Diceros bicornis minor: one gene and its partners. The protein of the gene in region 1 purifies or fractionates together with the protein of each later gene. This does not show direct contact. Links are inferred from orthologs where the notes say so. Each region holds a gene or a part of one and is shown on either strand. Other genes may lie near its edges.

Region 1 (9,704 bases):
ACGTGAGGGTTAGAATGAACGTTCCAGATTACTGACATATGCCTCCCGTGACCCATTCTAGAAATACAAATAAACAGCAAGCAAACCAACAAACTCCTACTGCTCTTTGGAGAAAAAGCAAAGGCAGAAAGCCTGCAGTCCGTAACAAGGGCACCTCCTGCCAGAGGCTCCCAGGAAGAAGCAGTGTTCCCGGCCATTTCCAGAGACAACCCGTGCCACCTCGACTTACGTGCCCAGGTCGGACGGCTTATTTCGTAACTGCTCGATCAGTTCCCGGTAGGAGGGATCGGCAAGCAGCGACCGTGTCCTGGGATCACTCTCCAACTTCTGGTACAGATTGGGCATGTTGAAAGGGTTCAGGAACTTCCTCTCTGTTCCCAAGAAAGAAAAGTGCCTCACTAGGAAGTCAGTTCATGTGAGTTACTATGCCCCCGTAGTCTACCAACCAGACTGACACACGGGAGGACAAAAAGCCTCAAACTCAATCCCATTTAAAAAATAGCAATTAAAAAAAAAAGAAAAAGACAGTATACATGGTGCCTACCTGCCAACCGGGCCTCCATATTCTGTAACCCCTCTTTGAGCTGAGGATTATTTGGCTCATGTTTTAAACCCTCCTCATAGGTTCGCTTGGCTTCTTCAAATCGGTTTAAGAATTCCAGAGCTGCTGCTTTTCGAGAATAGCCCTTAAACCAGCAAAGACAGACACAAAACAAAATAAAGGACACCCGCAGGTAAAGCCAGAAGACCAACTCAAAAGAACATATCTTACATTTCATGGAACAAAATGGGTATTCACGTGAAGGCCCAAGAACAGACAGGGAGAGGAGCAGGACACAAGGCCAAGACTGATACTGTAAGACTCCAGCCAAATACCAAAGATGCGCCCCTCCCCCGCCAACCCATCTATGATCAAGAACTCTCCCTTTCTTTGGCAGCATTTTCTTTCTTAGTAGTACAAAGAGTAAGACATGTCTTAATATATGATGGTATCTCCGATTTGATGAAATCTGCCATTACTCGAAGGAACATACTCAAACAGTAGGGAAGATGGTGGGTAATAAACTATTAGTTTATTGGCAGAGGCCACTGGCCGGTCAGGGGGGTCCCTATATTTAAGAACTGTATACCAAACGGCATTTCTGGAAGTCTGAAGAGCCCCAACTCACCCACCGCTTACCTTGCCCCAGTCAGGCTTTAAGTCCACGGTTTTACAACCATCCTCATAAGCCTTTGGGTAGTCCCCCTTCTTGGCGTAGGCTGCCGAGCGGTTGCTGTAGAGTACGTGGTTCTGGGGATCTAACTTGATGGCCTCGGAGTAGCACTGCAGCGCATCGTCGATGTTGCCGGCACTCAGGGCCTTGTTGCCCTTCTCTTTCAGCTCGTTCACCTACAGAGAAAAGGACTGATGTAGTTCCCTTAACATGCTTCTTTAGTCTCAAGTTTTTAGGTAACATTCTTTTCTGCAGCTATCAATAAATAGGTTACTTTATAGATCAGAAGAAAAAAATCATAAGCTAATTCGTTTATATTTTCCACATCTTTGGGAACAGGCAAGGAAAAAAGAAAATAACCAGGAACTAGAAGCCTGACACTTTGCTCTGCACCGGCTCCCGCGCGGATCAGCAAGAACTCCAGCCACTCTTCCACAAGTCTCTACTTCGAGCTGACGAGGCCACTCTAGGACATACTCGTGAGCTCCTTCCATGGAAATAAACTCATTTGCCATATATTTCCAAAGAGTCCAAACGGTAAACTGCACACAGGCCTAGTTCCTGCTCACGGGAGGAGGCGAGCAGGACGGGCGTGGGCCAAGTGCGCACAGATACACTGATACACGCTCCAGCCCCAAAAAGGCTTTGGGACGGCGTCTCCAGGAGCATCAGAATGCCCACCCACAGTCAGAGGAGAATCTACTTCCATCTAGAGGTGTGGTGATATGTCACAACACAGTACATTACTGCTCCGTTCCTTAAAAGGTAAATGAAAGCTAGCCCCCCGAAGTCAGTTTCTGGCATGCTTAAACATTAACATATTACAAGGGGGATGGAAGAGGATAAAAAAACACTGTTTGTGGTTTAACCCCCTATCCTCTCAAACATTCAGCATGAAAGAAGCAGGAACACACCAAAGGGAAGGTTTAAAAAAGTGAAGGAGGCCCCAGCCATGTCAGAACAGGGTCCTAATTAAAGGGGTTTCTCCTAACCAGGGATGTCCTACAAGAGAGGGAGGGCCAACTTCCAACACAAACACATTTCTTTTCTTTTCTTTTTTTTTTTTTGTGAGAAAGATCAGCCCTGAGATAACATCCATGCAAATCCTCCTCTTTTTGCCGAGGAAGACCGGCTCTGAGCTAACATTTATTGCCAATCCTCCTCCTTTTTTTCCCCCCAAAGCCCCAGTAGATAGTTGTATGTCATAGTTGCACATCCTTCTAGTTGCTGTATGTGTGACGCGGCCATGAGGCCGGAGAAGCAGTGCGTCGGTGCGCGCCTGGGATCCAAACCCGGGCCGCCAGCAGCGGAGCGCGCACACTTAACCGCTAAGCCACGGGGCCCGCCCGCAAACACATTTCTTGATATGGAGCCATACCCTTCAAGTTACCAAACCGTTCTTTCTTTCTATCATCTACCCACGACCCAGTATACTGATACAAAAAAATACTCTGTTAAGAGAGATGATTTTGGAACCCTGAAGCACACCAATTGGGAACCTCCCTCCATGAACCAGAGAGATCTTAGAAAACAACCTCAAAGACGGAAAAAGCAAAAGGAGACTGCCAAACTTGCCAAGCAGGGACAAAAACCTTTGGGCCTAGGATGGAGACCAAAAGGAACAAACTTTAAAAACTCCGCTAGTATCAAGAGGCAGCTGGGAACAGCTCAAGAAAGTTCCCGTCTATCCTACGGAACATCCTTTTCCAAACTGACTACCGCCTGCAGTGGGTCAGGAAATCAAGTCTGTAGGTCACGACCAGTGCTTTAAAACATCAACTGGGAGAAAAAATACCAGCATGCAGTGCACATAACAGTAAGTATCGTTTTGTGAAACGCGTTATCCAGTTGTATGCCCTTACTGGGTCAAGTGTGAAAAGTGTATCACTGTGGGATGTATTTATTTGAAAGATACTTAAAAAAAAAAAAAAAAGACAACTTTGGACACTTAAATCTGTCCAACTTCAATATCTCCTAAAACTGAAATATGGATCTGGGAGTCGAAAATGCAAATAGGTAGAGAAGTCACAAGCGGAAAGGTAGGTTCTAACACACCTGGAGCGAAAATGCCAGGCCGTTTGTACCACTGTCACAGTAAACTGGCAGTTCTGAGTTTAGTGAAACATTCATTTACAGTCTACCTGTGCATACACTCCTATAATGGGCAGCATGATTTTTTTTTAAATATTTTTTCTATTTTAATAACTGCGGGACAAGCTCCTTTCTTAAATTTAACAGAATAATATGTTTCTCAACCTGGAAATCTTTTTGCTTATACTACAGCCTATTTAATCCCAGATACAATTTAATTATCACAAGAGTGCAAAAATTTATTAATTTTTGTCTTTTAACTCCTCAAAGAAGTTCCAGATGTCGCTCAAGGAGCAATGGCTATACTACAGCAGAATGTTCTGTTTTATAGATCCTGCCACAAAAAACGAACCCTCTTCTCTTCGTTCCCCCCAGTTCGATCATTCATTACAGCTCAATGACAGCTTCCAACCGAATAAAATCTCTCCAGGCTTTCACAACCTTCAGGCCACTCAGGATATAATTAAGCCACTGCAAGTAACCAGCAGCAGCTTCAAACTCGGTCTCCCAAAGATGCTGAGCGGAGGCAAACAACTTACTTCTTGCTGCTGATCCATACTGCCTAAATTTCCTACGGCGACCGATCCCTCCTTGTGTAATTAACTAGAAACCGACTTTTCAGAAACGTTAGTCTTGTTACTCCTGAATCACACACAAATAAACAAAAAGAAAAAAGAGGAGGAGGAAGAGGAGAGGCCGCCCATCTATTTGCGAAACGCTGGCAGGGAGGGAATTCGTTCCAAGGACTTGTGCAGCAACCTCCCTCCTGCATCAGAAGTTGGCCCGCGGCTCCTCAGCCCCTCGCCCTTCCATCGCGGCCCTTCCCGATGCAGGACAGCAGCGTCCCCCAACTGCCTACCAAATCTCCCGGCTCCTTCCAGAGCGTCTCCGCATTCCCCCCAGTCAACCGTGGCCCAGCCCGAGGTGCCCTCCTCGTCGGCGACTTCCGATCTCCCAGCGGCGAGGTCCCTGGTGTGGACCGATCCCTCCCGCCTCTCTCGGGGCCCCTCCATCCCTCCGGCGCCATGCCCCGCTCAGCCCGCAGCCACCTCCCTGGAGGCCTCCGGGCCCGGCCGCGGGCCGAGCTGCTGCCTCCCCGGCCCTCCTCGCCGGGCCTGCAAGCGATGGGCGCTCCCGCGGCCCGGCCTCGCCGCCTCGGCCCTCACGCCCGCGCCGCCCCGCCGCTCGCCGGCCCGGCGCCGCCCCGCCCCTCCGCCGCGGCCTGGCCTCCGCCGGTCCCGCCGCGGCCCCGGGCCTGGGCCCGCCCCTCCCCCTTCACCTGCTCCATAGCCCGGCACGGAACCCCGTTGAATCGACTCCGTCCGCTCCGCGTTCCCAACCGCACGCGCCGCCTTCTGGAACCTACTAGAAGCTGCCGGGACCCCCGGATCCCGCCCCTGCCTTGCCTGCTCACTGGTCGCGCTCCTCTAGAGGGCTTTCCCTGCTTCTCTACTATTGGCCTGAACTCCAGCCCATCATCTTCGCTTCTCTCTCATTGGACAGCGGGGAGTAATCCCCTCTGTCCTGCCTCCCCCGCCCCTCGGGATTGGTCGCTCCCCGACAAGCCCCGCCCACCCCACGATTGGAGGGGGGGCGGTCTTCTGCGACAGGGATTGGTCGCTTGGTCCGCCAATCGTAGCAGCGCTGGCCGCACCCATTGGTCCTGTTCTTTCTGGAAATTTCCACCTCTCCCATTGGGCTGACGGTCTCCATGAACGAACCTCCTTCAGATGAAAAAAAATTCTATTGGGCGGACAGTTGCCGACACTTTGCGCTGATAGGTCTAAATGGCTGTCCATTAAAGGGCGCGTGGGGTTCGCCGCTGAGGTGGTTGATGGGCGTCCCAGGCCCCAGCACCGTCTGCCGCGGGGGCTCCGGGGGCTGCGGGGCGGCTGGCTGGGGTCGCGTCCCGCGTGGTTCTCGCGAGGCCGGCCGAGAGCCCCGGTCCTGCGCCCGTGCGTCGGGCTCGGGGTTCCCAGCCGGTTCGGGTCGGTCTGGGGCGAGCTCTCTGGCCCGTCCCGGACCCCGCTGTTAGGTTCCAAAGGTTCAGATACCGCGTGGCGGGGAGGGCGCTGGGGTCGGGCATTACAGACCCGGCTCTCCCCCGGCGGGGCGCCTCCGCTGGTCCCCTTAGTGCAGACGCACACCCTCTCTGATCCTCTCGAGTAGGGCTTGATGATCTAGGGCCGCGGGAGGGTTCCTAGTCATGCAGTCGAGTTTTTAGCACTTAATGAAAGGGAGCCGCCTCCATTATTGGGATGCAAATTGGTGAAGGAAACAAAGACCTCAGTGAGGGGTTTGGCCACCTGGTGGGCGGAGGGCCCTAAATCGCAGCCCATGTGCGAGGGGCAGAGCAGGCACCCAAGGGAGGGGAAACGGCTTAGCGCGTGGGCGAGACGGCCCTCGGGATTAAGATGCTGTTTTTTTCTCCCTGGATCAGTGTGTGGTTCATGGAACAGAGGAGCCGCATGACTTGGGTGCGAGTCTTGGGCCCTGCTGTGCCCAATTCTCACCCCTCTCTGGGCAATGGCATCCCTTCTAGGAGGTTAAGGGCCATCTCGCTTCGAATAACTTGCCTCCACAGCCTCCTCTTCCACCCCAGCTGCCTCTGACCCACTCAACACTACACCAAAGTCACCCCAGCCCTCGCTTAAAACCTGGAGGCTGTGTGGGACTCAGGGCCTGTCTAATCTGGCAGGCCAGCCCTTCTGCCTCTACCTTCCCTGTGTCCCGTCCCGTCCCGTCCCCGTCGTGTCGTCCCCCCCCCCCCCCCCCCCCCCCCCCCCCCCCCCCCCCCCCGTCAGCACCAAACTCCAGCCCTACGTGTCCTCTGCTCCTTTTTTTTTTTCTTTGATAATTTTATTTCTTTATTTTTCCCCCAAAGCCCCAGTAGATAGTTGTATGTCATAGTTGTACATCCTTCTAGTTGCTGTATGTGGGACGTGGCCTCAGTATGGCCGGAGAAGCAGGGTGTGCAAGCGCCCGGGGTCCGAACCCAAGGCCGCCAGCAGCAGAGTGCGCGCACTTCACCGCTAAGCCGCTGGGCCGGCCCTCCTCTGCTCCTTGAACTCAGCAGGCTCCTTCACCCTGGGCCTCTCTGTATGCTGTGGCCTCCACTGGGATCCCCTTCCACCAGCTGTGCCAGGTTAGCACCCTGTCTTCCAGGCTGAGATGAGCTTCAGGGTTCCTTGGCCACCTGCCCCTAACAAGCTTACTCATTTCTGTCCGCTTGTTATTTGCTTTTGCATCACAGTGGGTTACACGTATGTCCCCTCACAAGCTAAACCAGCAGCTCTGGTATCAGGGCCACATTTTGTGAGGTCTGCGAGGGCCCTGTGTCTTGAGCCTTGTGTTCCAGGTGCATGGCGCAGTGTCTGGCTCAGAGCAGGCGTCCGCTAATCCGGCAAATATTACTGATCGCCCTGGTATGTGTCAGGGCTGATTGTGGGCCCAATGCAGTGGGGCAAACGGACAAAATCCCTGTTCCCGTGGACCTCATTCTAGTGAGAGAGACAAACTAAAAAAAAGTTGATATAGTATATATGCTTAAGTGCAGTGGAGAAAAATAAGCAGGGACCAGGTTAAAGGAGCATTGGGTGAGGGGGGCCGGGGCAGACCTCAGTAAGAAGTTAATATTTGAGAAAAGTCCTGAGGAAGTGAGGGAGTGAGATTTTCTAAACTCTGAAGAAGTACCATGCAGAGGGAACAGCCAGTGCAAAGGCCCTGGGGTGGCCAGAATGGCAGGAGCACGGGGAGTGGGGAGTGGGAGAGCCAGGCGGAGACAAAGCAGGGGCCAGGTCCTGCAGGGTGGGAGGCCACTGTGTTCACTCTGGAACGTGCCCGGAGGGTTTGAGCAGAAGACTGACATGATCCGACTTAGTCTTATCAGGATCCCTCTTGCTGCTGTGAAGATGAAGAGGGCCAGGGTAAAAGCCGAGAGACCTCTTAGGAGGCCGTTGTAATAATCCAGGGGAGCTGTGATGGTGGCCTGGGCCAGGGTGGGAGCAGAGGAGGGGAGAGAAACGTTGGGTCCCGGATGCACTTTGGAAGAGCCAACAGGATGGATCGATGCCCTGGATGCAGAGCATGGAGGAAGGAGGTGACACTGAGGCTGGTGGCCTTCTCTCTTATTTGCTGAGTTAAATCTGCCCAGAAGACCTTCATGTCTTCCTGGCACCGTCTCCAGACCACACACTTGCCAGTCCCTCTGCTGCCCCCCAGACCAGCTCTGCCTCCATCACCTTCCCCACAGCATCTCTCCCGGCTTCCTTCCCACTCCTCACTCTGAGTGAAGTGGTCTCATCGTCTCCCACACACCTTTTTTCTAGTCCTGCTGTGTGTGGCACGCTGCTCTGGGTGCCGGGGCTCAGCAGTGGACAAGGCAGCCCACAGATGCCGCTTCTGCTTGCGTGGATCTCTTCTAGTGAGAGAGACAGATGAGACTTCACCTCCTCAGCTGTGTGACTTCAGGCCGCCTGTTTCACCTCTCTGTGCTTCAGTTGCTTCCATTTCAAGGCGTGGATGAAAAAGTCTCAATGTCAGACTAGTTGTGAGGATGAAATTATTTGATATTTGTGAGGCGCAGAGAACAGTGCCTGACCACAGAGCAAGCACTATATGCATTTAAGTAGACATCGATGCACAAATGAAGAGAACTCTAAAGAGTGGTGAGCATTATGAAGGAAGCAAAAGGTAAGGGATGAGGGTAACCAGGGAGGCAGGGAAGGAAGGAGCGCCTACGGGTGGGTGGTTAGTGAAGGCCCCTTAGACCTGGAGTGATGAGAAGCCAGCCAGGGACGGGCTTCCAGACCAGGCAACAGAAGGTGCAAAGGCCCTGAGGCTGAAATAAGCTTGGAATTTCCAAGGAATCCAAGGAAGGCTTTTCTGTGCTCTAGCGTCCTTGTCTGTAGATGGAGATGATGAAGGGCCGATGATTTCCCAAGGTTACTATGAGGATTAAACAAAATAACCCATACTCATAAACCTATAAAAATTTGAGAGCCTTCTTTGAGAAAAGAAAAATACAAAGTAAAAAATGAAGTATGGAGCTCTAGAAAGGGTGGAAATGGGGGACCCTGAAGCTTAGGCTTATTGGGTGTCACAGTGAAGCCGCTTCTGAACATTCAGAAATGTTAGCTCTTATGATTTCCACCCACTTGGGCTTCTCCAGGTTTCTCGGTGAACTCGGAGCCCTCCTGAGGGGGCAGGGAGGCGGCAATGCGGCCTGGCCAGTGTCCCCTTCCCCAGATCCCTGGAACACAAGCAGAAGCTCCGCCACAGAAGGCGTCCTGGCCCATGCACTGCACCACAGTTCCAGAGTGATTCATGCTGCTATTTCCGTGCCAAGCTCTCAGGGTGGGGAGCAGAACGGCTGGATTTGGCATCAACTCTGAGGCCGTAGATCCTGCAGCGAATGAGAGGCTGAAGGGCTCAACGTGCGTGACCAGATTCTCAGCAGAGCAAACCCCCAATTTTAAAGTTCTCCCACAATCAGAAAAAATAAAACAGCTGGAACTCAGGAAGCTTAGCCTGGGGGTGAGGGGTGGGCATGATGGAAGGTTGCAGCTCGGAATTCTGGGGTGTGTAGAACATGGAATTTGTTTTTAGAAGAACTGTCACTATCGGAGTGGGAATTCACGCAACCTGAGTTTCCTTCTCTAAGTGAGAGCCTAGATCCATTCTGCGTTCTGAGAAATTCCTAAAGAATATTTTCCTGCGTGCTCCTGACTTCCAGCTGTCCTGCTGAGAGAGAATCTGAGTCCTGATGAGCGGGGAAAGTGTGGGGGAAATGAAGTGCCGTGGAGTTCTGTTCAATCAATGATCTCGTACAGAGAGCCAAGCACCATGCCAGATGCTTCAAGGAATAAAAGAATGGTCATTATTATCCAATAATTATTCATCAGAGAGCTCCAGAGTCCAGCCCGGGGCCTGGCCATGCACACCCTCCCGGGCGATCTCAGCCAGGCTCGTGGCTATAAATACCCTCTCGGATGACTCCCGCATTTCTATCTTCAGCTCAGATCTCGCTCCCAACTTCCAGACTTGTCTGTCCAGCTGCCTCCTTGATATCTCTGCTTGGATGACGGATGGACTTTCCAACATGTGCAAATTGGAGCTCCGATGTTCTCCCCCGAGTTGTCCCTCTCTTGACAGCCCTCTCGTCAATGGCCTTGCTATTCGTGGACTGGTTCAGGCTGAAAACTTTGGAGGTGTCCTTCATTTCACTCGTTCACGCCCACTCTGTCAGCAAATTCTGTCAGCTGGACACAGACCGCCTCACAACTCCCCAGCCATCTCCTATTTTGGGAAGGAGAAAGGCGTGTGGGCCCCTGGAGTTGCTAGGTGGCCAGACATCGTGTGAGGGGACCCCCAGCCTGCCTCCCAGGCCACATCCTATGA
Region 2 (10,041 bases), on another chromosome or scaffold:
GGCTACATAATATTTTGTTTTTACTTATTTTTCATTTGTCTATTGATCTTTAAATTAAATTAGACATTTCTACTGCTTTCTTGTATTATTATACACACCTGTTTTCTCCAATGTCCTCCTTTAGTATGGCTGGTAATTGTTTTGGTGATTGCCACCCCCTCGAGACGCCTTGCCGTAAGTGCTCTGTTGGCCTATTTTGTAAAGACAAAAATTTATATTAAGATAGTGTCTATGAAATATTCATTATAAGTATATTTAAAAAGTATTAAATGTGTAAACACTGCATGCCAAATAAGTATTAAAATAATCAGATACTTTGACAGCCATTATAGTCATTTATCATATATTCTAGAACATATGTAACAAAGACTCTGTATTAATATAACCATCCTATGACCATCAGATGCCTCAAAAACGTAACTCCAAACACTTGAATAAATGGAAAACCCATACACACACACAATTTCAGAATGGGACTGTACTTTAACACTGAATTTTAATACCATTGGGTTTATGAAATTAAGTTAAATATTCTTACCACTGTAGTCTGCATATCCCTGTCCATATCCATAGTTCCCATAGTTATACCCAGTATAATCATAGCCGCCATAGCCACTATAGTTTTGATCACCACCATAGGCACTATTGTAATTTCCATATCCTTGATCATAATAGTTATTAAATCCTTGGTTCCAGTTTTGGCCCTGACCTGAAACAATGCACAATGATTGTTAGGAAACAACTTCTGACCCCCAATCCTAACATAAAACGATGCGTTCCTGTCCCTCACTCTGCAAATCTTAAAAGGCAGAATGGACTTCCATAATACTATCTGCTTGAGAAAAGATCTTTCCGGTTGTCATAAAATAGGGGGCAGAAAGTTCAACTGTGCCAGTATCAAGCTTCGTAAATTTAATGGAAAATCAGGACAAAGGTGAAAACAGACTGGCTTTAAAACAAGGACTCCTGCCGAAAAAAACCTATCATGCCATGGTGTATCATGTAGTTTAAACTACATTTAATGGTATTCTTTTCCCATCAGTGATGACACTGTCAGAGTGGCCATTCTTTGAAGAGGTGAAACCAGTAAACTCATTAAAAACAAAACCCCACCCACTAAGCTGAGCATTTTCCATGCTGGAAGTTTAAACTTGGATTTCCTTTCTTTGGGCTTATTCATATTTAGCAATTTATAAGTTAAACCACAGTCATTTCCCAAGAATTAAGTCTCACCTCGGCCACGACCCCTAGTACCACCTCGTCCACCAGCTGCAGCACCTCTTCCTCCTTTCTGTTGTTGCTGTTGCTGCCTATATACCTCTTTGGGTTGTGCAACTTTGATTTCACACTATGAACAAGTTTTAAAAAGCAAACAAATAGAATTGTTACTGAAATTCTATGTTAAGCCATTTTATTCTAATCAAGACAGACTAAGAATTTCTCACACGCACACACACAACTCCTTAAACTTTTCACTTAACATAATTAAAATGGCTTTACCTTCCCAGAACCAATTTGATGATATCTGCTTTCTAACAATTTCTTTACTGGCTCTTCGTCTGTATATGTGATAAAACAAAATCCTCTTCTTTCATTTGTTTTTGTATCCATGGGAAGTTCAATATTTTCAATCTGAAATCAAGATGCACACTCAAGATCATCCAGTAATGGTAAAAAGCTACCAAAAGATCTTGGAATGCCACAGGTCCTTTTCCAGCTTCAATATAACATGTTATTCTAATCAGATGACTCCTACAGAGAGACTACTGCCTTATTATCAATATCAAACTACAGTGATTTAACTGTGAAGCATTTACAGGGGAGAGCAAAACTTCCTTTACTTAGTATCATTCATACCCAACAGATGCCAACAGTTAATAAGTCCAAACACTGACCATACCAAAGCATCCATGTTTTGGCCAAAATAAATTAGATATTGGTTTCCATTATAGCACAGAAAACAGTGATTAAAATATGGTGACTGGAAGGGATCTGAGCTGTATTTTAATCCCATCCTCCTCTCACATGTGAATTTGTTCTGTAAGAAGAGGGCCAAGGATGAATATTATATAAACACACTAAATATAAAATACACGTAAACATAATCACAGCGCACCTCTCCAAAGGCTCCAAAATATTCTTTAATTTGTTCTTCTGAAGTATCTGGGCTCAATCCACCCACAAAAACCTTTTTGGGGGGTTCCTTCCCTTTTAAAGCTTTGGCCCTTTTGGGGTCTATCAATTTGCCATCCAGTTTGTGTTCTTTCAGTTCCAAAACCTAGAAGACAGATTTATTTAATCTGACAACAACGCACAACCAAGCCCCCGAACAACACGCAAAAGTCACACAAAAGCAGCACGACGTGAAACACATTCCTACCTTATCAACACTAGAGGCATCTTTGAAAAGCACAAATCCAAATCCTCTTGATCTTCCTGTCACTGGATCTGTTTTAATCGTGCAGTCTACAACTTCCCCAAATCGAGACAAATACTCTGTCAGATCTTTCTTGCTTGTATCCCAGCTCAAGCCTCCAATAAACATTTTACTAGAAATAAAAGTTTGGTTTTTTTTAAAAGGTTAGCAGTAGCTCCAACAATTACTTCAGTTCTGGGATTAATTACGTTTAACTACCAAGTAAGTACAGGGAAAGTTACCCCTATGTACAAATGATGTAATCCACGCTTACAGATACACACGAACAGACCACAAAAATCCCCAAATTCCATCAAGGTCACTTATTCAACACAGTGGACAGTTAGCTCTCCACACCGCATAATGCAAAGTTTAAACGAGGCCAACAAAATACGTTCAAGATAACTTTAGGTTAGAAAATCCAACTTCCTAACTGATCCCTCACAACTTAGTTCCACCCTCTTCCTCAGCTGTCAAGCCCAGGTTCCACCTAAAGAATTCATGAGAGGGCGTTCGGGGGATCTGGGAACCACTGGTCTACTGGTTCCCACGCCAAAACTTCTTCAAACGGTCCCCAGAAACACTGCGCAGAACCCCAACAGAGACACAATGAAGAGGCGGCGGCGGCGGCTGCAGCATGTGGCGCAGCGAGGGCGGCCCCTCCCCCTCGGGCCCCACGCGGCGCCTGCGCACTGGGGACACACACACCGCCGCCCTCCTCCTCCAACCCCTCCGCCCTTCCCCCACCTTCCGGGGCCTCCCCAGTCACCCCCTCCGTCTCCTACTCTCCTCTTCCCTCCAAGCCAGGGAAGCCCAGCGGGCACGCGGGGAATGGACCCGAGGCAAGAATGGGGGCAGCGCGCGGCTCCCCACGGACGAAACGCGCGTGCGGCGCGCTGGGGAAAAGGGAAAGGCGTGTGGTACCCGTCATCCTGCTGATTCTTGCTCGCGTTGATCTTGGATCCCTCTGCGAATTCCTCTATGTTGCTGTACTCGTTCATGTCCTCCATGGCGGCGGAGTTGTCGGTCGGGGGGTGCTGGCGCGCAGTCCGAATCGCGGCAGCAGCAGCGGCGGCGCGTTGTATGGAGCTGGATTTAAAATGGCGGCGGAAGAGATCCGGGCGCCGCCTGCGACCTCCCTTTATAGCCGCCCCGCCCGCCAATCGGGAGGGCTGCTGGGCGGTGACGTGGCGCTGGGCTCGGCGCGCCCCCTGCCGGGCGGAGCTGGGAGCGAGCGAAGGGAGGAGCGGGGCGAGCTGCCGCGGCGCCCGCGGCCGCCAATGGGAGAGGCTGCGGGAGGCTAAAGTAGCGGGAGCGGAGGGGAACAATGGCGGCGGCACATGGGAAAGCCGGGGCGGGACCTCCATCGCGGCCCTCCCGGTGAGGAGCGAGGTCGCGGGAGAGGGGACGCGGGCTTGGGATGAGAGAAGCGTCAGAAGAGAAAAACGAAGGGGCGAAAAGTCCTGGAGTCCAAAATCCCGAGCAGCGCCGTCACAGGGCCACAGTCCCTCTTGCCTTGAGAGCCTTTGTCTCTGCCGTCCGGTCCAGCCCACTCCTAGGAAAGAGCCGTCAACCCCGCCTTTTTCCGCCCTCGGTCCCCCAGTGCGGAGCTGCTGCGGCGGCAGCTGCTGGCGATTAGCACCGTGGCAGGGCTGCTCCGGAAAAAGGCGGACTGCGCCCGGCACCCGCCGCGCGCACGCGTGTTTTGTCTTCGAGCTGGCTGGAACCAGCCGAACAGGAAGCAGGAGCGCGGGGCCCCTCAGGGCAGCGGCGCGGCCCGAGTGCCTCTTCCGCTACGGCCACCGGCGCGCGGGCTGAGGGGGCGCGGCGGGCCTCCCTTGCCGATGAGCCGGAACCGGGAGCGGCGCGGCCTCTTTTGCTGGCAGAGGCCGGGAGGAGGGGCGCGGGCCCGGTCAGATTACTGTAAATATGCAAAAGCGGAGGCAGTGGGCGGGGAGGGGGCTAGGTGCCGTAGAGGGCAAGGGGCACTCACATCCCCGGCGCGCCACACGCGGGCCTCCCGTCTGCACGTGCCCCGGGCCTCTCCCGCTCGCTCAACCTGTCTGCGGAGAGCGCGCGCCCGCGCACCCGGCTCCCGCGTTCGCTTCTTTGTTCCCGCCCACGCGAGGCCCATTTTGACGGATCGGGTTCGAGGCCCTCTGGCGGCCAATCGGCGTCGGCGCCTCTGCCGTCCCGCACCCCCTCGGAACGCTGCGAGGCCCGCCCCCTTTCACTGCCCACGTGGTCTCGGCCTCCTGCCCTGGCAGCTCGCGAGTTCACGGCCTCCGTGCCGCCGCCCTCTGCATTTCTAGGGGCGCGGAGGTGGCCTCTACCCCTCGCGCTTCGGGTCGCGCGCGGTTTCCGGCTCCGAGATTGTTGCGGGCTGTCGGAGGCCCGGGCAGGTGCTGGGGCGCAGCCGGCGCCGCCCTCCGCCCTCCCTATCAGTAGGCCGATTCCAGTGGTAGCATCCGGTAGGGAAATGGTCGTGCTTTCGGTGCCTGCCGAAGTCACTGTGATCCTGTTAGATATCGAAGGTACCACAACCCCGATTGCTTTCGTGAAGGTGAGGGGCGGAAGGGAGCGGGGAACTTACCTGTGCTTAAAAATAATTAAAAATTTGTTCTTAAGTATTGCAGACCTTGCACTGGAGACACAAGGCGTTGGAGAGGCGGTGTGGCTTTGCACCCGCAGTGGGATGGGAGGAAGCCGAAGGGCTGCGGCGGGATGCAGGGACGCTTTTCTCACTGCACCAACTTTACACTGCCCTTGGTTAGATACAGATGGATGGGAAGGGATGGAGGTGGTGGCGAGAAAGGGCGGAGGACGGTGGCTCCGCCTGGGCGGGGTGACGCGACGTGGGCGCCCCCGCCGGCCAGGTGAGCGCCCGCTTTGTGCAGAGTGAGGCCTGGCGAGGCGGCGGCCGCGATTTCGTGGTCCTGGAGGCTCCAGTCCCACAAAAGGGAAAGACTGAAGTGTCAAAATGAGTTTTCTGGTAGCCCTGGTATCTTGGGCGATAATGGTTGCTCTTCGTCCCTTCCCACTCCTGCTGCTAGTGGCCGAACTGCACCCTGTTATGTTACTGGACTAGGTGGAACCCAGAGCTGATTTATTAAGCTGTAGAACAAACACGTTTAGATTTCGTTCATTTTCCTCAGAAAACCACGGAAGCTTGAAGGTCTTACTCAAAACCTTCCTCCTAGAGTGTCCCTGTTAACCAACATTTGTCTACACCTGATTCACAAGCTCACAACTTTGCGCTATATCAGGTTTCTTTTTTATACATATTCTATTCGTCTGTCAGAATACGTAAATATCAAATATTAGTATAATTTTTTAAAGAATTCTCTGGGCCTAGTCGTCTTTTTATTTAACTTCTAGAGGTTTAAGATGAAAGCGTTAACTAGAAAGGCTTACGTACAATAATAGTCGAGATATCATTTACAGAGTAGGAAAAACCCATCTTCCAACAAACTGGTAAGTTTTAAGTTATAAATTTTTTTTTTAATAATTTTATTTATTTATGTTTTCCCCAAAGCCCCAGTAGATAGTTGTATGTCATAGCTGCACATCCCTCTCCTTGCTGTATGTGGGACACGGCCTCAGCATGGCCAGAGAAGCTGTGTGTTGGTGCGCGTCTGAGATCTGAACCCGGCCCGCCAGCAGCTGAGCGCGTGCACTTAACCACTAAGCCACGGGGCCGGCGCATAAATTTTTTAAATTTAGTTTTATTTCAAAAAATTACCTGTGAAGAATGATTGTCTTGAAGTGGGTGATAATATAAAATCAGTGTACACTTTTAGGACTCCAATATATCGACCACTTGCAAAGTTTTTAGAAGAATCATAATACCTTGACATCTTAGCACAGATTCTTAAGAAATCTAGTTTGGCATTTTTTTCCAAGTTTTTAATCACACCGGATGCCTCTGCAGAAAAATTCAGGATCGCCCAAATGCTGGTAATTGAGTTGACGTTCTTTTTCTTGTTGATTGTGGCAGAATAACCGCTTTCTTGGAGTTTTCAGAGAAAAAAGGATTTCTCATCTTTGTGGTTTATAGTTTACAGCTCACTGTCTCTATTTTGGCTTTCTCTTACTTTCCGTTGTCATCAGGAGACCAGGGGTAATGACAGGAGAGAGAGTATTGTGGCATATGATATATACCATTCTTGGAAAGTTGATTTAGGGAATAAGATACCTCATGCAAATCAATTTTGTTAAAACATACAAGGTGCCTCTACCACCTTCCCCCCCCCACTGTGTCTTCTGCCAGATGAAAGTATGAGCCACTTCTTGGAATCTTTGTTTATGGCAGACTTATTCTGAGGTCTTTCTGAGGGTAAAAATGCCCTAATGGCCTAAATAGATTTTTTTGAGCTTGACACTAGTCTATAGGCAAATTAAAGGCAGACTGCAAAAAAATGATTTGGGGATCTTGTTTAAAGGATAGTTTCTTATGCCTTGTCCTATAATGTATTGTTATTTTATTAATATTAATTATTTATTAGAATACTCATTAATTTGTTACACATTAATATATCAAAAATGATGTTTGTAAAAGCGTATTCAGAAGAACATTAGATCTGTGTGGGTGTTTACAGTAATTTTGCAAAAAAGATTCCATTATTAAATGCACTTTTGGGAAATGTTAGGCTATACATGTTCAACTAGGTTTCTTTATTGCATGACTTTTCAGAGCCTTTATATCATACACACATATGCACACATATGTCTTGAAGAGAATGGCATTTCACAAATTTGCTTGAACAAAAAAACTTCAAGCAGAGTATTTCAAGGACTGACCTTTTGAACACCTTTTTTTTTTTTTTTTTGGTCTTTAAATTTTTTTTCCAGTTATTTTATTGAGGTCATATTGGTTTATAACATTGTGTAATTTCAGGTGTACATTATTATATATCAATTTTTGTATAGATTGAACACCTCTTAAAGAGATTGCATCCTTGAATCTCTGAGCATGGAGCTGGGAATTGTGAGATGTTTGTTCTACTTTGGGCTTTATTAGTCACATTAGGTGTTGGAACATGTAGCCCTAATTCTTGTGGAATGATGAAAGGAAACAAACATTGGGACTGTATGCATGCTACTTGTATACTTGACTCATTGTCAAAAACTCTGTGAGGTGTGTGCACTGTCTGCATTTTATTGATAGGAAACTAAGACTCTGGAAAATTGAACAATATGCCTGGGATTTGAACCCAAATTGTCTGACTCAAAAAACTCTTACTCTTTACGTTATTGCATTCGACCTCTGAAATGGGAACTACAGTGCTTGTTCGTCGTCTTTGCTTGGCTGCTGTGTGTGTTAAATGACACAGTTGATACGAGAGAACTTTAATCACTATGAAGTACCGTAAAAGTAGATGGTAACAAATTTCAGTTTACACTACCTCTTGATGATAGGTTTAGGAGTGAACCCTGGGAACCAGAATAACTTTAGTTGAGTCTTACTTTATTTGGGGATTTGTTTCTGCAGTCAGTATATACTGTGAAAATAGAGCATTGTCAAAAATTGCCCGTGAAATACCCTGAGGAAGTCAGTCCTCCTTGGAGACTAATTTCCATCTTTCAGTAAGTCATGTGCAGCCCTTTTTCCTTTAGGGTTGAAACGTATCCCTGCTGCTTCCCTTGAGCACCAGAGGAAGTAGTTGGTTTGAGATTAGGTGATGTAAATGAGAAATATGTGTGTCAGACGTTAGCCTCACACTGAGCCACTCACACTGTAAGAGACACTGGGGAACTGAGACTGTCCCAGGGAATAGAACACCCTCACTGAGTGGAATGGCAGACAGATGCCAGCGCTGGTTATGGTTATTTTTCCCCTTCCTCTTTTTTTTTACTGAGCACTTAAAGTTGTATGTGTGTATGATGCAGCCTTACTATGTAAGATACACTAATGGTCCGGGATATCTTATGGGATTCCATAGAATCTTCCTAGTCTGGGAAGTGGTGTTCTCTGGACAGCCTGTTGTTCTATCATGCCTCAGCCCTTAGGCTCCAGACAACAACAAACAATGGTTTTACTTACCAGCTATTATGTCTTATTTTCTCTGAGTCAGAGATTTGTCAGATTTCTAGAGCAGGAAGGGCTCCTAGCTAGGATCATCTAGTGAATGTTGTAGCCAGCTAATTAATTGCTCATATGAGTCAGTTGATGCCTGGAGGGATATCCTGTATGAGCATCATCACAGCTTGTTGGGGGCAGAGCAGCAGTAGAACCCAGCTTCCCTTAGATGTTCCCAGTCCCTCTGAGTGCTCAAAGCCACCAGCCCTGCCCCTCAGTGCAGGAAACGTGCCTCTGGAGTTTGTTTTCTTCTCAGGTACTGACTCTGATCCTCTACAGTGGTGATCTCCCAACATTTTTTGCTCATATACACCATCAGCAGAGTTGGAGCAGGCACTACCAATAAAATTTATAAATTGTGTACACGTATTATTGTACTATTATTGTTATAAATTGGAATTTAAAGATGAGATTAAAATAGTAAGTATAAATGAACGTTGTTATATTCTCTTCCCTTACCCTGTTGAATCTTGTGTGCCCCTGGGGTATATGCACCCATGGAGCCACCACTTGATCTTTGTCCGTGGTGATGTAATATTCATTTTCTGATTTGGTGCGTTGTACTCTTCTAATGTTTTTAGTCTGTAAGCTTATGAAATAACACCATCACCAGTCCCGGTGGTTATCCTGTCAGGAACCTTCAACTGTTGTTTCTGAGTTTGGGGAAAATGATCTCTTGTTCCTGAAAATGCTCTTTAATTTGGTGGCTTTCCTGTTGTTACATGTCAAATTTGTACATGTAACAACAGTTGCGGTAGTTATGTTTTATGAAGTCACTGAGAACACTGTATTAGCAAATACTGAATCATTGCCCCTAGAGAAAATACATGGTTAGGTTCCTGTGAGCCTCTGGTCACAACATTTTTGTGAACTGATCAACATATAACCTTGTTTTATGTGTCTTTCTCTTTACCTTTTTTAATATATATTGTTGAGTGGTTAACGTTGAACTCATGGTCAGTGGCACTGTAATTCACCCTGTAACAAAGCTTGTCTAACACGTATATTTTCTCCGTAAGGCACATCGTAGCTTTCTTGTGCTTAGTAACACCAGACAGCGCTTCAGCACTTTGCCTGGGGGCTGTTTTAAACTGCAAAATCACCAGTGAAAAGCACAGAATGCAAAAAATATGGCACTAAAAATAGACTCTGAAAAGAACATTTGTTTAAAATATGAGGTGAAATAAGAAGGAAAAGCGTCACCTTGTGCTGGGAATGTGTACATCTGGTGTTTCAAAATTTTTGCCACTCTACACATATACCTGTCCTTGAATGATCAGGGAAGTGCAGTGAGTGTTGATTTTGGGGTTACAAATAAATCTTAGTGAGTAGGAGAATTTGCAAATACAGAGTCTGCAAATATGAGGATTGACTGCATGGAGTAGTATTTAGAAGGATGGGTTTGGAGACTGTGCAGGTCTGGATTAGCATTCTGGCTCCTCCCTATATGGTTTATGGCAAGTTAGTTAATATCTCTGAGTCTAGGTACATATTTCCTCAGCTGTACTGTGGAGATATCGACTTCATAAGGCTACTGTGAACATTT
Region 3 (9,501 bases), on another chromosome or scaffold:
GCCATAGCATGGCTTAGACGAGCGGTGCATCTGTGCACGCCTGGGATCCAAACCAGCGAACCCCGGGCCGCCTCAGTGGAAAGCGCACACTTAACCGCTTGCGCCACCGGGCTCGCCCCTGGTGATTAGTCATTTTATAAGCACTTCTCGTTCCCCTTCCCACTGAACCCTCGAATTGGCCCTTTCAGGCAGGAACTGTCATCCCCATTTCACAGATGGAGAAGGCTTTGAGTGGCAAAGTAGCTCTTCCAAGCTCACGTAATAATAGTTTGGAGGAAAAATCAAACTCAGGTCCCTAATTTCAGAAAATGTGCTCCTGGTACAGAGTGTCAGTTTGGGAAGATGAAAAAGTTCTGCAGGTGGATGGCGGTGATGGTTGCACAACAATGTGAATGTGCTTTATGACACTGAACTGTACACTTAAAATCACACTTAAAAATGGTTAAAAAGGTAAATTTTATGTTATGTATATTTTACCACAATAAAAAAAAGAGAGAAGGAAAATGTGGTCCTAACCACCGATTATACTGCCAGTATTGGCTGAGGAGCCTTCATTACTCTCCATGCTGTTTTTGCATATGTTTGCTTTCCTCATTATGGTAATATTTTATATTTTGTCTGGCCTCTTTAGCTTCAAATTCTCAGAGAAGTAGAGGAAACCTCACTATAACCCCTATATATCTGCTACCCACAATAGTTACCAAACCCCCACAGCATATGTTAGAAAAAAAAATGGCACACACCAGAAGCAGGCAAGGTGGTTTGTCTTGCAAACTGACCTAAGCCAGCTTGGTCATGCATGCATAGCTATCGCTTCCTTTTGGTAGGTGTCAGAAACCACCGAGAGAGTGTGAGGTGAGCGAGAGTTAGTGACTCTCCCACAACCTTCCTACCAGGTTTGTTTTTTCAAAGTTGCACTGAGATATAATTTATATACCATTAAAGTTCACTCATCTAAAGTGTACAATTCAGTGGTTTGAAGCCTATTTACAGAGCTCTGCAACCATCACCAAGATCTAATTTTAGAATACTTTTGTCACCTCAAAAAGAAATCTTGTACCCATTAGAAATCACTCTCCATCCTCCCTGTCCCCTCCCCACTTCCTACCCTAGGCAGATGCTAATCTGTAGATTTGTCTAGTCTGGACATTTCATATAAATGAAACTATATAATAAATGGTCTTTTGTGACTGGCTTCTTTCACTTAGCATAAATGTACACATTTTTGTGTGGACATATATTTTCATTTTTCCTGGGTGTATGCCTAGGAGTAGAATTGCTGGGTCATATGGTACCTCTACATTTAATCTGTGGAGAACTGCCAAACTGTTTTCCAAAGTGGTTGTACCATTTACAATCTCACTAGCAGTGTATGAATGTTCCAATTTCTCCACATCATGTCAACACTTGTTATTGTCTGTCTTTAATTTTAGCCATCCTAGTCGGTTAAGGTAGTATCTCATTGTAGTTTTGATTTGCATTTCTGACTAATGATGTTGAGCATATTTTCATGTTATTTACTAGCCATTTGTCAATCTTTTTTGAAGAAATGTCTAGTCACATCCTTTGCCCCTTTTAAAAGTAAGTTGTCTTTTTATTATTGAGTTGTAAGAGTTTTTTTAATATATTCTAGATAAAAGTCCTGTATTGGATATATGATTTGCAAATATTTTCTTCCATTTTTTGAGTTATCTTTTTGCTTTCTTTTTTTTTTTTTTTTTAATTTATTTATTTTTCCCCCAAAGCCCCAGTAGATAGTTGTATGTCATGGTTGCACATCCTTCTAGTTGCTGTATGTGGGACACGGCATCAGCATGGCCAGAGAAGCGGTTCCTCGGTGCGCACCGGGGATCCGAACCCAGGCCGCCAGCAGCAGAGTGCGCACACTTAAGCGCTAAGCCACGAGGCCGGCCCTTTTTGCTTTCTTGATGATATCCTTTGAACCACAAAAGTTTTTAATTTTGATGAATCCCAACTTATCAATCTTGTCTTTTATTCTTATATGCTTTTGGTGTCATATCTAAGAAACCATTACCTAACCCAAGGCCACAAATATTTACCCCTGTATTTTCTTCTAAGAGTTTTATATTTTTAGGTCAATAATCCATTTTGAGTTAAATTTTGTATATGGTGTGAGACAGGGGTCCAACCTCATTCTTTTGCATGTGGCTATCCAATTGTCCAACATCATTTGTTGAAGTCTATTCCTTTCCTTCGATGAATCGTCTTGGCACCCTTGTTAAAAATCAATTGATTATGAGTGTGAGGGTATATTTGGAATGCGTAATTCAATTCCATTGATCTATATGTCTATCCTTATGCCAATACTGCACTGTTTTGAAGTTGGAAAGTGTGTTGAGAAGCCGGAGCAAGTGTACTGAATTCAGAATATGCAGATTATGACCTGCTGAATGAGGAGGCACAAGCCACCCACATTGGGTCGGCAGGTAGCTCCCTCAGTATCTGAGCTCCCACTTTGGAGAAGTGAAACTTATGGGGTCATTTTGATTGAAGGCACAGTTTCAATACGCCCACACAAAGGAAGTAAAGTCAAAAGATTTATTGCTCACAAATCGCAGAAGTCGGGCCGGGGGTTGCAGGGGGGAACTGCTTGGCACAATGAGCCAGGATAACGGCAGTCCTCCTTCCCAGGTCACTAGCAAGCAGGAGATAGAGAGCCACATAGCAACCACCTATTATTTATAAGGGTGTTGGGGCAGAGGTCGCCAACTTTTCTCGGGCTTAACTCCAAGTGGTTATTTAAAAATGTGCCCCAGGAAAAGCAAAGTGGGAACTTATGGCGGGAATCTTAAGTTCAGGTCCTTACCTAAATGTCCAGATTCGGGGTGTGAGCAGAGTTATCATACTGTAGAATGCCTAGGCAGCAACTCAGAAAAACAAAAGTTGTTTTTCTCATCACAGAAAGTTTGAGTCCACTTCATTCTTCTTTTTAAAGATTGTTTGGCTAATTCTGGGTCCCTGGCTATTCTGACACCAGTGCAATACTGCAGTGTAATTCTGATGCTAACCACCTGCAGTTAGCGTCAGACTCCACAGGTTTGAGGGCACAGGTTTAAGTCCATCAAGATTGCCCTTATTTCAGGGGCCGGCCCGTGGCTTAGCGGTTAAGTGCGTGCGCTCCACTGTTGGCGGCCCAGGTTCAGATCCCAGGCGCACACTGACACACTGCTTGTCCGGCCATGCTGAGGCGGAGATCCACATTAAAGCAACTAGAAGGATGTGCCAGCTATGACATACAACTATCTACTGGGGCTTTGGGGAGAAGAAGGGGAAAAAAAAAAGGAGGATTGGCAATAGATGTTAGCTCAGGGCCGGTCTTCCTCAGCAAAAAGAGGAGGATTGGCATGGATGTTAGCTCAGGGCTGATCTTCCTCACACACACAAAAAGATTGCCCTTATTTCAGATGCTAACCTCAAATGGGGTCCCCAGGTCATCCATACTTAGACTGGCTATAAATCCAAGAGGTTCCCATGACCCCTCTTACGTTCAACAATTCAATAGAATGATTCACAGAATTCAAGAAAAAGTTATATTTATGATTACAATTGTATGCTAAAGGATACAAATGAAGAGACACATAGTGCAAGACCTGGGAGGGTCCTGAACGCAGACCTTCCATGCCCTCTCCCCATGGAATCAGGGCACATTACCCTCCCAGCACATTGATGTGTTCACCAATTTGGAAGCCACCGAGTTTTGGTGTCCAGAGTTTTTACTGGGGTTTTATTATGTAAATATTATTAACTGAAATGTTTGGCCAAGTAGTTGAATTCAAGCTTCAGCCTCCCTCCCTTCCCTAGAGGCTGGGCTAGCTCAAAGCGCTAATCTTTTAATCACATAGTTAGTCTTTCTCGTGACCAGCCCCCATCTGGAGTCATCTCATTCATTAGCATCAACTCTGGATTGAAATGACCTAGGAGACTATCTTTTATATCCAGTTGAGGTAAGTAAGGGACGTTAACTTAGGCAAAAATGGATTGTAAATGCCACAAAGAAAACTTAAACCTAATCTATTATATTACATTAGGCAAAAGGGGTTCATTCATTTTTTCTTAGACCATAATGAGGGCAACGGAGATGGAGAAAAATGAAGAGAATCTGGAAGCGTGTCACAAGTAAAGCCCATTGGACTTGCTAACTGATTAAATACAGGGCTGAACAAAAAAGAGACATCAATGATGATGCTTAGGTTTTTGGTTAGAAAGAGAAAGGCATCTTCTGACAGCTAAAACTGGCCTTATACTGTCAGGTAACACTTGGTGTCCTCCTATTAAACAATTTCACAGAATGTCAGTATCGAACAGGGACTAAGATGTGACTTCGATGGATCAAGATAAAAACAAAACCACTTCTGGGCCGGCCCCGTGGCTTAGCAGTTAAGTGCGTGTGCTCCGCTACTGGCAGCCTGGGTTCGGATCCCAGGCGCGCACCGACGCACCGCTTCTCCGGTCATGCTGAGGTGGCGTCCCACATACAGCAACTAGAAGGATGTGCAACTATGACACACAACTATCTACTGGGGCTATAGGGAAAAACAGAGGAGGAGGATTGGCAATAGATGTTAGCTCAGAGCCAGTCTTCCTCAGCAAAAAAAAAAAAAAAAAAGAGGTGGATTAGCATGGATATTAGCTCAGGGCTAATCTTTCTCACACACACACACACACAAAAAAACCACTTCATATTCATGTCTGAAGACAAGACAAAAATGTGAGCATTGTCCAAACCACAAAAATGACCAAACATTCCCCTATCCTGGCTAGTAGGAAGGACTATTGCTTCCCTACCAATTATAGGTTTAGCCTCCCTTCATTCCTCCCACCTTCTCGAAAAGATGGACTAAAATAATCATAGAATTATCCCTGCTTCCTGACAGTATTAATTCCAGAGCAAAGTCCTGCTTCCTTCAACCTTCCCCCAAATCACCTAAGACACTCCCAAATCCTATAAGAAGCCTTTTCTAACACCCTCTTACTGAGATACTCCCTCACTGCAAAGAGTCAGTAAATCCATCTTTGTTCAATTATAGGTGTGCTCTTGGTGGTTTTTGGCTGAAGGGCATTGATGTTGGCATAAACAACTCAAACTGAATGAGGGTATACCCTGAGAAGGGAAAAATGGAGTCGACCATCTTTGCTAGCCTTTCTGACAAGCCTATATCGCTGGATGCCCCAGGTAGAGGCTGGAAGGCTTACCAGTACCTCTCAGAAGCGCTCTGAGGTTTTCACTGATCCTCCACGCTGTTCCCTCTAAGGTATCACCAACTTATATTAAAACATAGAAGGAATTAATAGCTGATCTTTAATGAGTGTGTACTATGTGCCAAGCAGTGTTCTAAAGGCTCTAGATGATTTAATTCATTTACTTCTCCCATCAACTCTATGAAGTAGGTACTGTTATTATCGGGTTTTACTACTGAGAAAAGTGAGGTAAGGAGGTTTACATAACTTGCGGAGTGAGTATTCGAACCTGGTCACGTTCTAGGCCCACCAGAGCCGTCCTCAAGCCCCGCGGCTAGGCCGAGGCAGCCATCTTGTTTGTAGTCTGCAAAGACTGCAACTCCCGGCATCCCTCGCGGCAGCAGCTCTCCACACACAACAAATCCCGGCGTGCCCCTGGGCGGCCCGGGGTGGAGGGTTCTAGAAGGCGTGACGTGGGGTCGAGAGCGGGCTCGGAGGCGGGCGCCTCTTGGCAGTCGCTGTGGCCGCAGCTGCTGGGTCTGGGGACGCGGGTGGCCGGGGACGCGGGCGCAGCCTCCTCGTCTCCCCGGCCATGGCCGCGCTTGGCCGGCCCTTCAGCGGCCTCCCCCTGAGCGGCAGCTCGGACTTCCTGCAGCCGCCACCGGCTTTCTCCGGCCGGGCCTTCCCGCCGGGGGCGGACGGCGCCGAGCCTGTCCCGCGGCCGGGACCCCGCGCCGCCCCGAGCAGCGCCGGCGGGAGCGCGGCGCGCGGACGGTGAGGAGCCCGGCGGGCGCGGGGCGGCGGGCGAGCGGGCTCGTTAACCTCTCTCCCCACGACCCTCTCAGCCCCGGTGTACCGGTAAGGAAACTGATCCCCAGAGACGTTAACTGTAAGCCGGCGGAGGGCGCGCAGCCGCCGAGTCGGGCTCGCACCTGGGCCGGCCGGCGCCTCCGGGAAGTGAGGAGACTTGCCCAGGCGCGCCGGCTCGTGCGGGGATCGGAGCCCGGCCGCCCGGAGCCTGGATGTCCCCGCGGCGCGGCCGCTGATGCTGACAACTTCCAGCGCCGCTCGGACGCTCAGTTTCCTCATCGGCGGAGTGGGACAGCGCTGGGTCCTCCTAGTGGGAGCGCGGGAGTCGAGTGCTCAGCGCAGTGCCTGCCCGAGGACGCTCGCCCGCCGTAGGCGCCCCCACCCTTAGCTCCCTCCACCTGGACCAAAGGAGAGGTTGAGATTCAGCCTCTAGTTGTGTCAGGAGCAGCAGCGTTTACCTGACTGACATTGTGACTTGTGTATCCGTCTCACTCGGCGAGGACGGGGACAGCTAGTCCGTGTGGGGTGGGCAAGGTTATTGGAGCAAGAAAGAGCGGATGCCGCGAGCGCAAGCCCAGGCCGTTTCTCAGTTGACTGATTTTTGTTTGTTTCAACAGTGTTTCAGGTCGCGGTAGAAAGAAACACAAGCGGGAGGAGGAGGAGGAGGATGAGTAAGTTTCAGGTGCCATTTATTCACTTTATGGTCACTTAATTTAAGCTATTTTGTATTCTCAACTACTTATTTTAAGTGGGAAGGTGAAACAGGTGTCCCTGAAAGGAGGCGCAAGGAACTGACAACGCGGTTACCTTTTAGGGAAAGTAACTGGGTGGCTGGCAGGTCAGAGGGAGACTTTCCACTCTAGAACCAATTCTGAACGTTTGAATTTTGAGCCGTGTGAGTATTATTACATGCACAAAGTAAAAATTCCAAATGTGCGAAAGGATGCACATTGAGAAGTCTTACACTCGGTGCTCACAGTCCTCCCCAGAGCTCACGCCTCTTACCTGTTGCCCGTTCCCCTTTGGAAGATAACCAGAAAACCTACGAGGTTATGACTGTATATACTTCTGGTTTTTTACATTAGTAGGAAGATACTGTTCACACTGTAACACATTGGTCTTTTCATTTTACTTCCTGTAGCTTGTTGCATGTGGGCACATAGAGTTCTACCTGATTTCCTTTTCAATAGTTGAATGGAATTGTTGTAAGGCTAGGCATAGATAATTAACCAGTCTTCTATTGATGGATTTCTAAGTCATTGCTAATGTTTTGCTATTACTAACCATGACCGTTATGCAAGTAGGTGAATGGATTCCTCGATGGGGAATTGCTGGGTCTTAAAAGTGTATGCATTTCAGGGGCCGGCCGGTGGCGCAGCTGTTAAGTGCGCGCGCGCTCCGCTTCGGCGGCCCGGGGTTCGCAGGCCCGGACCCCGGGCGTGCACTGGCGCACCGCTTGTCAGACCATGATATGGCGGCGTCCCATATAATATAGAGGAAGATGGGCACGGATGTTAGCTCAGGGCTAATCTTCCTCACACACAGAAAAAACAGTGTATGCGTTTTAAGTTTTGAACAAGAGTTTTGCCAATTTTTATTTCTTTTAACAGTGGGAATTTCTCTTTCTGCATCTTACCGGAGCTGTATTTTCAAACTTTTTGACTTATTTGATAGGTAAAAAGTTGCATCTCATAGACAGTCTGTGAGAAAGATGAGTAAAAGAATTCCCGGAAGATGATTTCCAAATGACCAGCCAGATGAAAAGATGTTCAATCTCATCAGTCTTTAGGGAAATGTATATTAAAGGTACAGTGAGCTACTTACTCTACTACCAGATATTGGAGCGGTCGTGGAACACCAGGAACTCGCACACAGTATGGCTGAGGATGTAAATTAGTACAAGCACTTGGAAAACAGTTTGGCATTATCTAATAATTTGAAGGCACACATACCCTTTTACCCACCAGTTCCCCTCTTGAGTATGTACACACAGACATTGGGAGACACGTACAAGAAAGTTCATAGCATCCTTGCTGGTAATAGCTCAAAACTGGAAACAACCCAGATGTCCCTCAATGGTAAAAGGGATAAAGTAAATTATAGATTCATACAATGGAGTTCTGTTCAGCAAAAAAAAAAATGAATTACACCTGTCAACATGGATGTGTCTTATAAGCATAATATGAGCAAAAGAAACGTCACAAGAATGTATGCAGTATAATTCCCTAAATGTAAGGTTCAAAACCAGGCAAAACTAAACATTGTTTAGGGATGCATATCTGCACGTGTGATAATTTTTTTTTTTTTTTTTTTACTAATATCCATAAAAGACAGTGTTTATGTGTAGGGAGGAGGGAATAGAGTATCATTTGGGGATGCTGGCAGCAGTCTGTATTTTGAATATTACTTTCATGGATGTTTTGTAATTATTCATTAAATAATGAATAATTCATTGTACTTCTATGAGCGTAAGAGTTTATAGTTTGAAAGAAATTAGATCAGTGTTTTAATTTGTGTTTTGTGAATTACAGGTGATGTTGAACATCTTTTGATTTAAGCCATTTGTGTTTAATTTTGTGTGAATTGTTCATGTTTCTGCAGGTTTTTTATTGGCTTATTGGTCTTGTTAATCTGTAAGAAATATTTATTAAAGAAATCAGTTTATGATGTGTGTTATACGTGTCTTTCCAAAATTGGTCATTTGTGTTTTAGCTTTGTGTTTGATTTTTTTTGGCCAGCAGAAACTTTGGATTTTCTAACCTTGTTGATACATAGACTAATAAGACAGTAGATTTGAAAGGTGCCTTTGTGTTTTGTTTTGTTGTGTTTTGCTGAGGAAGATTCGCCTTGAGCTAACATCTGTTGCCAATCTTCCTCTTTTTGTATGTGAGCCACTGCCACAGCATGGCCACTGACAGACAGTGGTGTAGGTCCGTGCCCAGGAACTGAACCCAGGCCGCCAAAGTGAAGCGTGCCAAACCTAACCACTAGGCCACCAGGGCTGGCTCTGAAAGTTGCCTTAGTTTAAAAACCACTGGACCAGACAATATGTTCTTTATTGCCTTGGGGTTGCTGTGGATACCCAGGGACCTCTTTGCTATTATCTTTTGGGGTTCTCTTTAAGAGGTTATTGAATAAAGAGTTCCAGTGTTAAAAATAAAAAATTTGAAGTGTAAAAACTATTGGCTTAAAAAGTTAACCACCTATAATTTACAGATGGAGAGATTGAAGCTCTGTGAGGATGAGGGACTTGACATTTGGATGTCTGATGCCCAGAAGTGTGCTTCCCAGCTGCCACTTCCATAGCTCTTATCAGTACTTTGAAGTATTTTATATCACATTTTCTTTGGGACTTAATCATCATTGATCTCTAATTATTTGCAAAATGGACCTACAAGCATGAAATAATTTAGTCCAAATCATGTTGGAGGTCAGAGATCAGAACCCAGCTCTTAGACACAGTTACGTTAAATAGTTGAATTGTTAGGTGTG

Evidence for each region.
Region 2: the proteins of STIP1 (region 1) and HNRNPDL fractionate together in Homo sapiens (co-fractionation; 3 studies listed by BioGRID, with this or other methods). This does not show direct contact. The link is inferred for Diceros bicornis minor from reciprocal best matches to the Homo sapiens genes STIP1 and HNRNPDL.
Region 3: the proteins of STIP1 (region 1) and CCDC117 purify together in Homo sapiens (affinity purification with mass spectrometry; 5 studies listed by BioGRID and IntAct, counting the BioPlex papers as one, with this or other methods). This does not show direct contact. The link is inferred for Diceros bicornis minor from reciprocal best matches to the Homo sapiens genes STIP1 and CCDC117.

The regions. Positions count from the first base shown.
Region 1 is NC_080770.1:8,792,445-8,802,148, forward strand, and holds the start of STIP1 (stress-induced-phosphoprotein 1), read right to left. Parts: upstream 3,878-9,704; 5' UTR 3,863-3,877; coding exon 3,845-3,862; intron 1,391-3,844; coding exon 1,181-1,390; intron 687-1,180; coding exon 545-686; intron 372-544; coding exon 230-371; intron 1-229. UniProt on the Homo sapiens protein: Acts as a co-chaperone for HSP90AA1. Mediates the association of the molecular chaperones HSPA8/HSC70 and HSP90.
Region 2 is NC_080747.1:67,126,468-67,136,508, forward strand, and holds the start of HNRNPDL (heterogeneous nuclear ribonucleoprotein D-like), read right to left. Parts: upstream 3,817-10,041; 5' UTR 3,784-3,816; coding exon 3,341-3,783; intron 2,550-3,340; coding exon 2,381-2,549; intron 2,279-2,380; coding exon 2,117-2,278; intron 1,633-2,116; coding exon 1,501-1,632; intron 1,349-1,500; coding exon 1,234-1,348; intron 710-1,233; coding exon 539-709; intron 192-538; coding exon 121-191; coding exon of another isoform or gene 99-120; intron 1-98. Other genes in the region: ENOPH1 (enolase-phosphatase E1), read left to right, coding at 4,896-4,979. UniProt on the Homo sapiens protein: Acts as a transcriptional regulator. Promotes transcription repression. Promotes transcription activation in differentiated myotubes. Binds to double- and single-stranded DNA sequences. Binds to the transcription suppressor CATR sequence of the COX5B promoter.
Region 3 is NC_080774.1:22,547,570-22,557,070, forward strand, and holds the start of CCDC117 (coiled-coil domain-containing protein 117), read left to right. Parts: upstream 1-5,685; 5' UTR 5,686-5,791; coding exon 5,792-5,973; intron 5,974-6,626; coding exon 6,627-6,680; intron 6,681-9,501. UniProt on the Homo sapiens protein: Facilitates DNA repair, cell cycle progression, and cell proliferation through its interaction with CIAO2B.